Callithrix jacchus: one gene and its partners. The protein of the gene in region 3 purifies or fractionates together with the protein of the main gene of each other region. This does not show direct contact. Links are inferred from orthologs where the notes say so. Each region holds a gene or a part of one and is shown on either strand. Other genes may lie near its edges. The genes, in order: ZBTB18, KLHL9 and FBXL17.

What was found.
Region 1: the proteins of FBXL17 (region 3) and ZBTB18 purify together in Homo sapiens (co-immunoprecipitation; 3 studies listed by BioGRID and IntAct, with this or other methods). This does not show direct contact. The link is inferred for Callithrix jacchus from reciprocal best matches to the Homo sapiens genes FBXL17 and ZBTB18.
Region 2: the proteins of FBXL17 (region 3) and KLHL9 purify together in Homo sapiens (co-immunoprecipitation; 3 studies listed by BioGRID and IntAct, with this or other methods). This does not show direct contact. The link is inferred for Callithrix jacchus from reciprocal best matches to the Homo sapiens genes FBXL17 and KLHL9.

The regions. Positions count from the first base shown.
Region 1 is NC_133520.1:42,083,459-42,087,207, reverse strand, and holds the start of ZBTB18 (zinc finger and BTB domain-containing protein 18), read left to right. Parts: upstream 1-1,069; 5' UTR 1,070-1,218; coding exon 1,219-1,231; intron 1,232-2,170; exon of another isoform or gene 2,171-2,993; intron 2,994-3,609; coding exon 3,610-3,749.
Region 2 is NC_133502.1:128,320,208-128,323,956, forward strand, and holds the start of KLHL9 (kelch-like protein 9), read right to left. Parts: upstream 2,626-3,749; 5' UTR 2,079-2,625; coding exon 225-2,078; 3' UTR 1-224.
Region 3 is NC_133503.1:101,704,735-101,708,483, reverse strand, and holds the start of FBXL17 (F-box/LRR-repeat protein 17), read right to left. Parts: upstream 2,638-3,749; 5' UTR 2,220-2,637; coding exon 1,218-2,219; intron 1-1,217. UniProt on the Homo sapiens protein: Substrate-recognition component of the SCF(FBXL17) E3 ubiquitin ligase complex, a key component of a quality control pathway required to ensure functional dimerization of BTB domain-containing proteins (dimerization quality control, DQC).

The DNA of each region.
Region 1 (3,749 bases), on a different chromosome or scaffold from region 3:
CCCCAGTTCCTTTTCTACCTCTCGCCCTCCCAGCAGTCTGAGGAAATGTATTTGACATTCAGAGATGTCACAGCACCCTGCCCGGCCCCTGGTCAGCCCAGCCCGGGTCGCGTTACAGGTTCATCAGCCGTTAGAAAAGACCCACAAACTTTGGCCAAAAAGTTCTCAAACTTACTAGACCCGGCTTCTCCCCACACAAAGATTTTCTTGTGATAGTAAATATGACACAAGGACCCCCCCCCCCCGCAAAGAAAAAAGATTGTTAAGGGACACAGATCAAGGGGAAGGCAAGGTTCTGCTTTTTCTGAGCAGAAAGATAAGATATGCAGCTGCAGCATTCATTTTAAGTGACTGTAGCAGGTTGTATCAGTTTATTAATTGGTCTCATTGAACTGAAGTACTTTCCAGGATTTTGGAAAGTGCAGTTTGAGCCCCTGGGTACTGAGAATTGAAATTTGCATTAACTGTGGCAGTGTAAGAAATTTTACCGAGAAGGTAGTTGTAGATAAGTAGTTAAATAAGAGGGAGTAATACGGTGAACCAGTATGAAGTGATAGTTCTGAACAGGTCCGCCAACATTTGAGACATGGATACCATTATCTCAGCAGAAAAAAGAAGTGCCGCAGTAATGTTGAAATGGGACTGGAGATGTCAAATGGGTTGGTTTAAAAATATCCCTAAGAAACTAAACGTTGGAGTTAAATAAAAGTGAATCTGGATTTCCTGAATAGCACCGTGGCTTGAGTGTGCTGTCAGTATGTAAGCCAGTCCACCAACTTAAGACAGAAGTGTTGCTATTCCATAAATACAGTAGAACTCCATATGCTGAGTTTTTCAATTTCTTCTGTTAGAAAGTTTGGAAAAAAAGGAAGACTTTGAAGTATTTTGTTTATACTAACAGAAGAGAAAAGTTCTCCTAAGAAAAAGCTGGTGGCAGGAGTGTAGAGGAGTAGCATATGGCATTAAAAGGAGCACAGCTGGAGGTAGCATTTCCATCTGAACATGATGTCAGAGCAGCTGACAGCCTGCCATCCCTCAGCCTTTTATTCTAACACACAGACAGGGAGTTAGTGTGTGCGGATCTGTGGTGGAGAAGGTATCTCATTCCTCTCTAACATCATCTCCACTTTGCATCTGTCTCTCTTAGTCTGCTTTTTTTCCACCGATGTAACAGACCTGGAGCCAGCAGGACTCAGAGGAAAGGACTTAATCAGGTTTATGTGTCCTAAAGGTAGGAGTAGCAAGAGATTAGATGGAGCATATTTCTGTTTTGGTGTTTTGTTTATTTAATTTAAAAAATCACATTACTTTTCTAACCCAGTTTAGGAATAATATATGAAATTGAGTATTAAATGAACATCTTACTGGAGTTGAGAGTCTTGAGTTTGTTGAGTTTTAATTTTTTATCCCTTTTACTTGAGCAAATAAATAACTTTAATACACAGAAATATTTCAAGTTTGGAAATGCTAAGAACGGCTTTGAAATATTGCTTTTAGAAATCACGTTGGATTAAAATGCTTTTTTGTTCACTGCTATTTAGATTTGATTGGGGTGGTGGTGGGGAAATAGTAAACTGTCTGGAATCCAGCATTCAAACTTATATGAGAAGATTATTCTAGTTAAGAAGCTAGATTGTTGTGTAATTAATTCCACTGTGAAACTTTATTCTTCAAAACATTCAGCAGCACTACTGAAACATACAGCTGTAGTGCTTTTGAAACTGAAGGTTTTTTAAGAAGAAGAAGAAGAAGAAAAAAAAAGACTTTTGTCCCTAGGAGAGTAGTTTGACTGGTTTCCTCATATCTCTTGTCAAATATATATTTAAGAGATCTTTTATTTCAGCATAACAATAATTATTTGCAGGAGTTTTTGTGTTAGCGACTAATTTAGAACTTGTAGATTTGAGCTGCCTGAATTGGCCAGACAGCTGTAATCGCACTCCTCTATTCTTAATCTCTTTATCTGGGCAGCAGCTGCCATATGGCCACAGTCAGCTGGATCAGATGTTTATAAGCTTCCTTCTTCGTCCCTCTCTGTCCTCTCAGCCTCCTAATTTGATCACGGCTACCTTGTGAGCTGCCCTCCAATCTTTATTTTTAGCCCTCTCAAGGATTAGGATTGATGTTAGCTGTGGGGCACTTAAAGTGATTGTATTGTAAATCTTAGTTTATTCTAGCAGTGGTATCTTGCAGAATGTGTTTGGGGTTAGGATAAACTTTCAGTCTATCTTGCGCAAAGTGTAGAAGAGGAGGAAGAAGGGAAGTAATTTCTGAATATTCAATTAAGTGTATCTATTCCCAAAATGCACTTGCTGAGATGGACGGTGCGGAGCCTTGCTTCTGGTCACAGGGAAGGGGAAGTCGGGTCCTCTTTATTTGTAGGAGTTTACCCACTGCTGATGAATTCTGACCCTTTGTACATCTTTGCCTTTCCGTTCCCTCCATTTCACTTTTCCTCGTCAGAAAAGGAGGGCAGTGATGAGTATTTGCAAGAATAGAAGCTAGTGGGAAAACACCAATATATCAAATTATATTGAAACAAAGTATTTTCTGTTGGCTGAGGTAAGGCAGAACCAGGGGAAAAATCTAGTTTCTCTTTTTCTAAAAAGGTTTAAAAAAAAAAAAAGTTGAACCTGTAAAGCTTTTGAGTTTTATTTAAGCATTGTATACCTTTATTTTTAAAAGTTTGAATTAATTTTAATATGAAACTCATTTTGCCTTGCAACGGATCAAAGTTTAGATGAGAATTTTCTGAGTTAAATGAAGCCCTTCTGGTTCCTAATATTCTAAAAGTACAGTTTCTACAAAGAAATACAACTTTTTTTCTCAGTTCGTTTTTCAAAATCTTTGGATTTGTTCATAGTAAAGATGATCTTTTCCATCTGTTGGTGCAGTTCCTTCTGATCTCGTACATGTGTGCTGTACCTGCAAATCTGAAGGCATTAACATCTGTTTTTATACACAGGGCTTTTGTTGTAACACTGACTTTAAAAGTAAGTTATTTGCTAATTTCTGGACTAATTATGCAATTTCTTTTTTTTCTTGATTCAGCCAAATTGTGTGTGTGTGTGTGTGTGTGTGTGTTTGTGTGTGTGTGTATTTAAACTGTGCTTTCTAAGTACAGTCAAGTAGCAAAAGTAATAAAAGAATAGGGATGGTTGGACAAGTTTTCTTGTGTCTTCCAGGATATGTCTGGGACATTTCTTTGTTTGTTATATGAGTTCTTTCCTTTGAAATTAAAGCTATTTTGTAGGGTTTGTAGGACATAATTTGATAAGTAGAGTTCATAGATTTCTTCTGAAAGATCTAAATTCTCATTCTTAGATGCTGTAGTTAAAGGAAGGCTTTTGAAACTTCACTGAAAGTTCAACAAGATGGAGATGTGTCAGAAACTGTTTGGCGGGGGTGAGGAAGTTCAGAAAGTGTCCATTTTCCTTCTCGCTTTGAGGTCTTGTGCGTGTGATTTGGTGGTGCTTGGGTCATAAGCCTGATTAAAATTCAGGGACATGTACCACGGCGGCCAAAGCAGAATTAATTTTTTTATATGGGGACTAGAGCACTGAAAAGTGGTTCCTGACAGGCTCTAATGAGAAATTCCTCTCTTCCCAGGTTATGAAGACAGTATGGAGTTTCCAGACCACAGTAGACATTTGCTGCAGTGTCTGAGCGAGCAGAGACACCAGGGTTTTCTTTGTGACTGCACTGTTCTGGTGGGAGATGCCCAGTTCCGAGCGCACCGAGCTGTACTG
Region 2 (3,749 bases), on a different chromosome or scaffold from region 3:
TTTTTCTACATCTATTTTTTTTCATTTGTAAAAACAGCTAGCTATGTTAAATACATTTTCAGAATGCATTTGTTAGCCATTTGATAAACGCACTAAGCCAAACAAGACAAATAACATCAGTTATCTTTATATCTAATAACTGTACCAATCACTGTAAGAAGATACAACTGAAGGGGAAGTATTAGATCACCCACGATGTACTGCAAAGGTATTACACCTTAGACCTAAGAATGATCTGAAGGTGCTGAAAGAGGTGATTCTCTAGAAGGTGACCCAGGGTTTTCTTCGGGTGGAAAAACTGTGAGTGTACAAGCTCGAATGCCACCAAGTGACTCTGGGAGATCAAAAACTTTATGCCACTCATCTTTTTCTGGGTCATATTTCTGGACAATTTCTACCATACAACGATTATTCCAAGAATATCCACCAACAACGTAGATTTTATTTTCAAAGACGGCAACTCCAACATCACTTTGACCTCTTAACATGGCGGCAATTGGGGTCCACTGGTCAAGGGTTGGTGAATAGTATTCACAGCTTAGAACATCATCATAATCACTTGTTCCTCTGAAGTGATTGCCACCAATGACATAGAGCTTGTCTCCAACTGTACACATGCAATGCAGACCTCTGACTGTAGTCATTGGAGCCTTTTGCATCCATTTGTCTGTATCTGGGTCAAAACACATGAGCTCATTTTGGAAAGTGTCATGGGTAATTCCTCCTGAAATATACATTAAGCCTCCATATACTGTTCCAGCATGTCCATAGTGGGGTTCACTCATTTTTGCAACATAGCTCCACTCATTCATTCTTGGGTTGTAACATTCTACTGTGGCTAGTTCACCAGCTGCACTGCGCCCACCAACTGCATACAAATGTCCTTTGAGGGCACTCAAGTGAAAGAATGTGCGCTTTTCATTTAATGATGCAACCTGCATCCATTTATTATACCGAGGATCAAACCTGAAAACTGTATCAACAGCAGTTTTTCCTTTTGTATCGTAATTACTTTGACCACCAACTACATAAAGAAAGTTTCCAATGACAGCAATGCCATGCTGGTAACGGGGAGCATCCATCGGGGCTAAAGATCTCCATTCTTGTGCCCTTTCATCATACATCCGTAATTCTTTACTGACAACTAGCTGCTGCCTCAAAACTCCTCCTAATGTAACCAAGTGAGTGGAGTCCGATCGAATGGCAGTTCTATCTGACTGCATCACTGGCTGCATATATGGCATCATTTGGTAATTGCTAGCTTCCAAAAGCAGATTCACACAGGTATTGTCTGTTCTCATGAAATCTACCGTCTGCACGTAATTGATGAGGTCCTGTGGTGTCATCAGTGGAAATCGAATATTCTTCATTAATTTTGCAGCATAATCCATCCGAGGGTCTTCCAACCTTAGCCAGCGACAGGCAGCCTTAAAGAGTTCAAGTTCGGTACAGTGCTTAAGACTGTTACTGGAAAGCACAAAGGCAAGCCGTTCAAAAGGGAGTTTTAGAAACTCTCCAGTACTCAGTAAAGCAGGAAAGTTCTTCAGGATGAAATTATTAACATATTTATCCACTTCTATAAGATTGTAGGTGTTAGCAATTCGTCCAACCTCAACACAGTTATCTAAAGAGACTCCTGATATAAGAAATACTTTACAGAAGTCCAAAACAGGTAGTATTTGTAAAAAGCTGGCAGCTTCAAGTGTGTCCTGAAGACTGTCCATATTAAGAGAAAGTTTTGCAGTATAAATAAAATCAATGATTTTCTTCAGACCAACCTTGTTCACCCCATGAAGTTTAATGCACATCAAATCCTGTTCTTTCATTCCACCTGTGAACATAGCCTTGAAATAATCACTAGCAGACGCCATCATAGCTCTGTGAACAGGGAAGATTTCATCTCCATCACCTGGTACGAGGGTCACATCACAAAGCAATCCTTCTATTCTAAGCTGATCAAAGCCTTGCAGTACCACCGAACTGTGAGTATTGCTGGTAAAAAAGCGTGTGGTTCCTGCCTTACAAGGCTGCAAATGGGCAGAGACGCCCATTTCGCCGTTACCAAGGGACACTTTCATGTGAAAGCTTTCCTCCTGTACAGAGATGCAGGCCGGAGAAAGAAGTTATAACCGGAATGTTTTACAGTCAACGAGGTGTCCACAAAGAACAGAGAGCTCGTTTCCTTATCAAAGGAAAGCAGTCACTGCGGCACCCCTCAGGCCACGCCAGTCAGTCATCCACTAAAAATCGCCCTGTAGCAAGATCACAAAGGGCTGTGGACCTCAAATCTGATTATTAGACAGATAATTCATGACCTGTAGGTGGATAAATGACCCGGTTTACCTCGTCTGGCCTGCGCTGCCGCTCCTTCAGCAGTTCCGCTTCGGGCAAAGGGGAGGCGCAGCCACGTACTGCGGCTCCAGGGCCCGCTCGGCGGCGAGTCCAGGCTCCTCAGCGAGCTGCCTGCTGCGCCCTCCGCTGTACCTAGAGTGTCACAGCGGCCACCGGCCAGTCTTTGAGCAAGTGCCTGAACACAGACCTGGACCTGGGCTTGGGCCTGGAACACCGGCCTAGCCCCGGTCCCCAAGCGGCTCCTTCCGGGAAAGCCTAGTCCCAGGATCCCCCGGGGTGGGAGCGGCCGTTGCGGCTACTGCGGCTGCGCAGCCTCCAGAGCTCGTCAGTGGGCGGATGTGTGGGGGTGGTGAAGGGGGAGGAGGAGCGCGGCAACCGGGGACTGCGAGGTTGGGGAAGCGGGGCACCCTGAAGTTGACTCCAGCCCGACGTCTTAGAGTTGCCTTGTACTTGGGACTAAATAGAACAGAATGTGTGCACATATGTTATGCTGCATATTTGATGTAAGGTTTTCGCATATCTGAGCTCTTACGTTTCCCAAATGCATTTTTTAAAGCTTTACACTTCCTAGCTTCTGTTTTTTTGAATAGCAGTGAAATGCAGCTTTTTTATAAATTGAAAGAAAACCTGGTAGAAGAGTACGGGAGGATGCTTAGTTTTTTACAAAACAATAATTATCGCACACTATTTAATACCCCAGTTACAATTTTGGTTCATATTTTCGAATTTGTTGTAATTTCAAGCACAAAGTATTTGTCTCTTTGCTAGATTGTGACTATTATGTAAATGGTATATTCTAAATTTTTGGCTTGAAATGCCTTTGTTTTCCACAATTTAAAAAATGCCTACATAATTTTCCTATAACTATACATAATATAGTTTCCTTTGCCCATTGTTTGTTCCTGAATATGTACCTTCTTATCCTCCATTGTTATATAGAATCTGTAGTGAACTTATAGAATCTGGTAGCAAAATTTTAGCCCTGTTACGGATAGTTAGTAAAATGCTGATCCAAGACAATATTTCCAAAATATTATCACCCCTTCTGCTGACTTTTCCCTTTATGAGTATTTTGTTAACTTGCATTTATTTAATTAGTGGTAAATTTAAATTCTGACATACAAATCAATGTATACTTTGGCACAATTTCTTCCATTTTCCAAATTTGAAGTTTATGTCTTTTAAATCCTTCTAGTTCTTTATGCAAATGCAAAGTAAGAACATAGTCATATTTTTATTACACTCTCATTTTTATATAAAAAATAGCACACCATGTACACTGTTCTGCATCTTTTTTCACTTCAAGATCTTCCTGAATTAGTATTTAAAGGGCTTATCTATGTTTTTAAATAATTCTATTGTTGCCCTTTGAGTTGTCATAAATTATTTAACCAGTG
Region 3 (3,749 bases):
TAAAACAGACCCAAACACACAGTACTGTAAATATGCAAAAAGTCTAATCAAATAAACCATGTTGGTGACAATAACAATTGTAATTAAAGTTACTTCAGTAATATTAAAAGTAGCCAAATTCTTAACAAGGTTATCTATGGCTAGTCTCTAGTATCATCCACAATGAAAATAGTTTATATTTATTAAGCCCCAGAAAGGGTGGGGTGAGAGACGGCAGAAAAAGAGGAAAAAAGTTAATAATAACTTAATAAAAACTCTATTACATAACTAAGGTTGTCACTAGCATTGACAAAACTGCAAAATATGGTAGTTGAAAATGACACAAATTTCATCCAGGACACCTACCTCTACTCACTGGTCTCCCAACAAAAAAATACATCTGTGCTACCTCTGGTAATCTGTATGCTTTTACGTAAGGGTTAAAATGTAGGAGGGCATTACCACATAGTAAACAAAGGAATTTTTAAATCAAGTAGTCTTAAATTACCTCGTTCAAGACCTGGATCTGCCCTTTACTTTCTGTATGTGACCTTGCACAAGTCATTCAACCAGTTCAAGCCCCACTAGACTGTCAGCTCCATAGGCGCTAAGACCACTTCTTCCTGACTCACTACTGTAAAAACCCTGCTCCACGGCACGGAGAAATCAGTTTCTTCTTGTATAAAATAAATATATTAACAATATATTTATCTCGCAGCGTTAACTGGATAAATAAGTGGGATACTGTATATATAAAGCTCTAGCGCAGTGCCTGATTATGGTAAATGCTCAATAAAAGTTAACTGTTTGACATTAACTACCAGCCATTAAACCTGAAAGTAACGTCTGAACACTTCCAAACACTGATATGCAAAGCCTTTACCCACTAACTATAAATTCCTCAATTGATTAAAAACAAATTCCCTCCCCCCCGCCCCCCACAGAATGCCTGCGAAGTTTCTAAAACACTGGGTTGGGATTCTAATAATAGCTGAACCCTGAAGGGTGGGTTATAGAGTCAAGCTATGAAGACATTCAGTAGACTCCAAGTGCTTATACTTCAAAAAATAGGCCACAGGCAGAGGACCCACTGGCTTCCCAGTCTCCGGTTCGGACGTCCCTCGGCTGTCAGGGAACCCCCCCTCCTCCGCGCTTAGGGGGAGGAGAGAGAAAGCCTCGGAGGCGGGGGCCCGGGGTGGGGGAAAACGAGCATCCCTGCGCCTCTCGCCCAGACCCACCTTGAGCAGGATGGACGGCGGCAGCTGGTTGATGTCTGGGGTTTCGGGGGGCGGCTCCCTGTGACAGTCGCAGGGGTTTTCGGGGGGCTCCAGACAGTCCGCGTCGCCACATTCACGCTGCTGCTGGGCGGACGAGGGGGCGGTGCCCCCGACTCGGACAACGTCCCCGCCAGCCTCGGTGGGAGCACCTTCGGAAGTGGGAGAAGAGGGCGGGGGGCAGAGCGGCTGCTGGGGCTGCTCCGGACCCTGGCAGCAGCCGGCGTCGGGGGGTCTGGGCGGCGAGGCGCCTCCCCCGGCAGGCCCTCCCCCACCGCCGCCGCCGCCGCCACCGCCGCCGCAACCCCCGCCGCCACAGCGGGGCTGCTTGCAGGGGGTGCAGGCGGGGACCCCGGCCCCCTTCCGCTTGCACACCATTTCGAGGGGCGTAAGGGGCTCGGCCGGCGGCGGCGGCCCCCGGAAGAGCTGCACAGCGGCGGGCGGCCCCAGGAAACGCACCGGCCCCAAGCTGGCCAGGAAAAGGCTTCGGCCCTGCTGCTCCCAGGCGGCGGCCGCAGCCAGCCCCAGCTCTTTGCAGCAAGAGGCGGGCGACGAAGCCGAGGCAGCAGCGGCGGCGGCTGCGGCGGCCGAGGATAGCAGGAAGCGGCGGGCGGCTGCGGCGCAGTCCTCGGCGGCCAGGGCCGCGTAGCGCCGCGCCAGGTGCTGAGAAGAGGAGGCGGCGGCAGCGTAGGCCCCGTCCCGCGGCGGCGGCGGCGGCGAGAACGGCGGCTCCTCCTCTGGGCCGGCGGGGGCGGGCGCGCCGGGACTGTGCACGATGAAGCAAAGCATGCAGGGCCCGCGGAAGAAGCAGTCCCGGCTCCGGGGCGCCGCCGGCTGAGGGGGCACCTTGGCTGGGGTCCGGCGGGGCAGCCTGAGGAGAGGGCGCCGGCGGCGGCACCAACTGCAACAGCGAGGCCTCTTCTGGCTCGGGCGGTTACGCGGCTCCTTCGAGAGAAGGTGGCCCATATAGAAGGCCCCGAGGAGGGGCACCAGGACGGGAGGGAGGGAGGCCCAGAGAGGCGAGCTCCCGGCAGCGGGGCAGGCCGCTCGCTGGCTCGGCCTCCGGCCCGCAGCGGGGTCGCCCGCTCTGCGCACACACACGCACACACGGGCACACACGCGACGGTAGGGGGGTGGGCGTTAGCCGCGGGCCGCCGGAGTGCCCGAAGGGGGCTACATGCTTTGCCCAGAGAAGCCGGGAGAACGATGGGAGCGAGCTTTAGGGACGCGAGGGAGGGAGGGAGCGAGCGAGCCTGCCGGCTAGGCGACCAGTCGGGCCCGGTCAGCCGGCTCAGTCAGTCAGCGCGGCAGCGGGGGCAACGCCGGTACCCGCTCGGACCATTTTAACTGCGGCTCTGCCGGCGGCGCGCGCGCCCGCGACTCTGCTGAGAGCCGCAGGAGCGCGCGGCCCATTCCGGCAGGGGCGGAGCCAGTTGCGGCGGCGCGCTTGTGGCTAGGACGCCGGCGCCCAGCTGCTCAACCGGGACGGCTGCCACAGAGACACTGCGGGGAGGAGGCCGGCCGGCGAGGGCTCGGGACTCTGGGCTCACGAGGTGCGGCGCACGCCCCTCCCTCCCGCCGCCTAAGGTTTTTTCCGAGCCTGCTGGGCGTGCGCCACGTTTCTGAGGCGGGAGGAGACACTTCCGAGCCTGCTGTGTGACATCCGTTTACACAGCCGCGCTGACGTCCGGAGGTGTAAGTTCAAGAGCTGCCATTGGCCGGGAGCCCCTTGGCTTTTCCCCTCACCTTCCACCCCCATCACTACTCCCGACTCGGAAACTGAGGCCTCTTCGAATCCACTAGGCGGGTTCCGCCGGAAGGGCCTGTGCGAGCCCTGACCGCTCGGCGAGCGGAGTGGCAGATGCGCGGCTCCTGGGTGATGCGCACCCAAGTCGTGTGAGGGGTTAATTGGTTGTACCGCACCACTGTTTCCCCACTTGTTTTCGTACTTGTTGCGTACTACTTCCTTTCCACAACTTTATTTCAGAATGAAAGCATATATCAAATTACCCATATACAGCTGAAGGATAAGCAGTTTCCTCATCCAGTGAGCCATGCAACACCCAGGCTACAAGCTGTAGATAGCTTCATTATCTGCACCCTCGGAATCCTGTCTAGTCATATATTACGTATTTTAAAGATGAAGGTGCAGTGCCTGCTGTATGACAAACCTTGGTGATCCCGGTTAGAAAGAGTAAATAGCTGTGCCGGCAATCCTTTAGAAGGTTTAACAATATCGAGGTTAACTTTCACGAGGGAAAAATTGGAGGAGGCAAATACCGATGGGAATGAGCCACTCTAATGAGAGAAATAAGGGGAGAAGGTGGAATGAAGAGTACTTAGGAAGGATGCTTTTCTTGATTGTGATTACAGAGAATGAGGAGAGGTGAATAAAGGATGGATACAGATAGATGTATGGTTTTTTTTTTTTTTTTTTTTTTGACAATGGGAGTTAAACTTGTTATAGGAAATATTGCTTGGCAACTTATGAGAGAC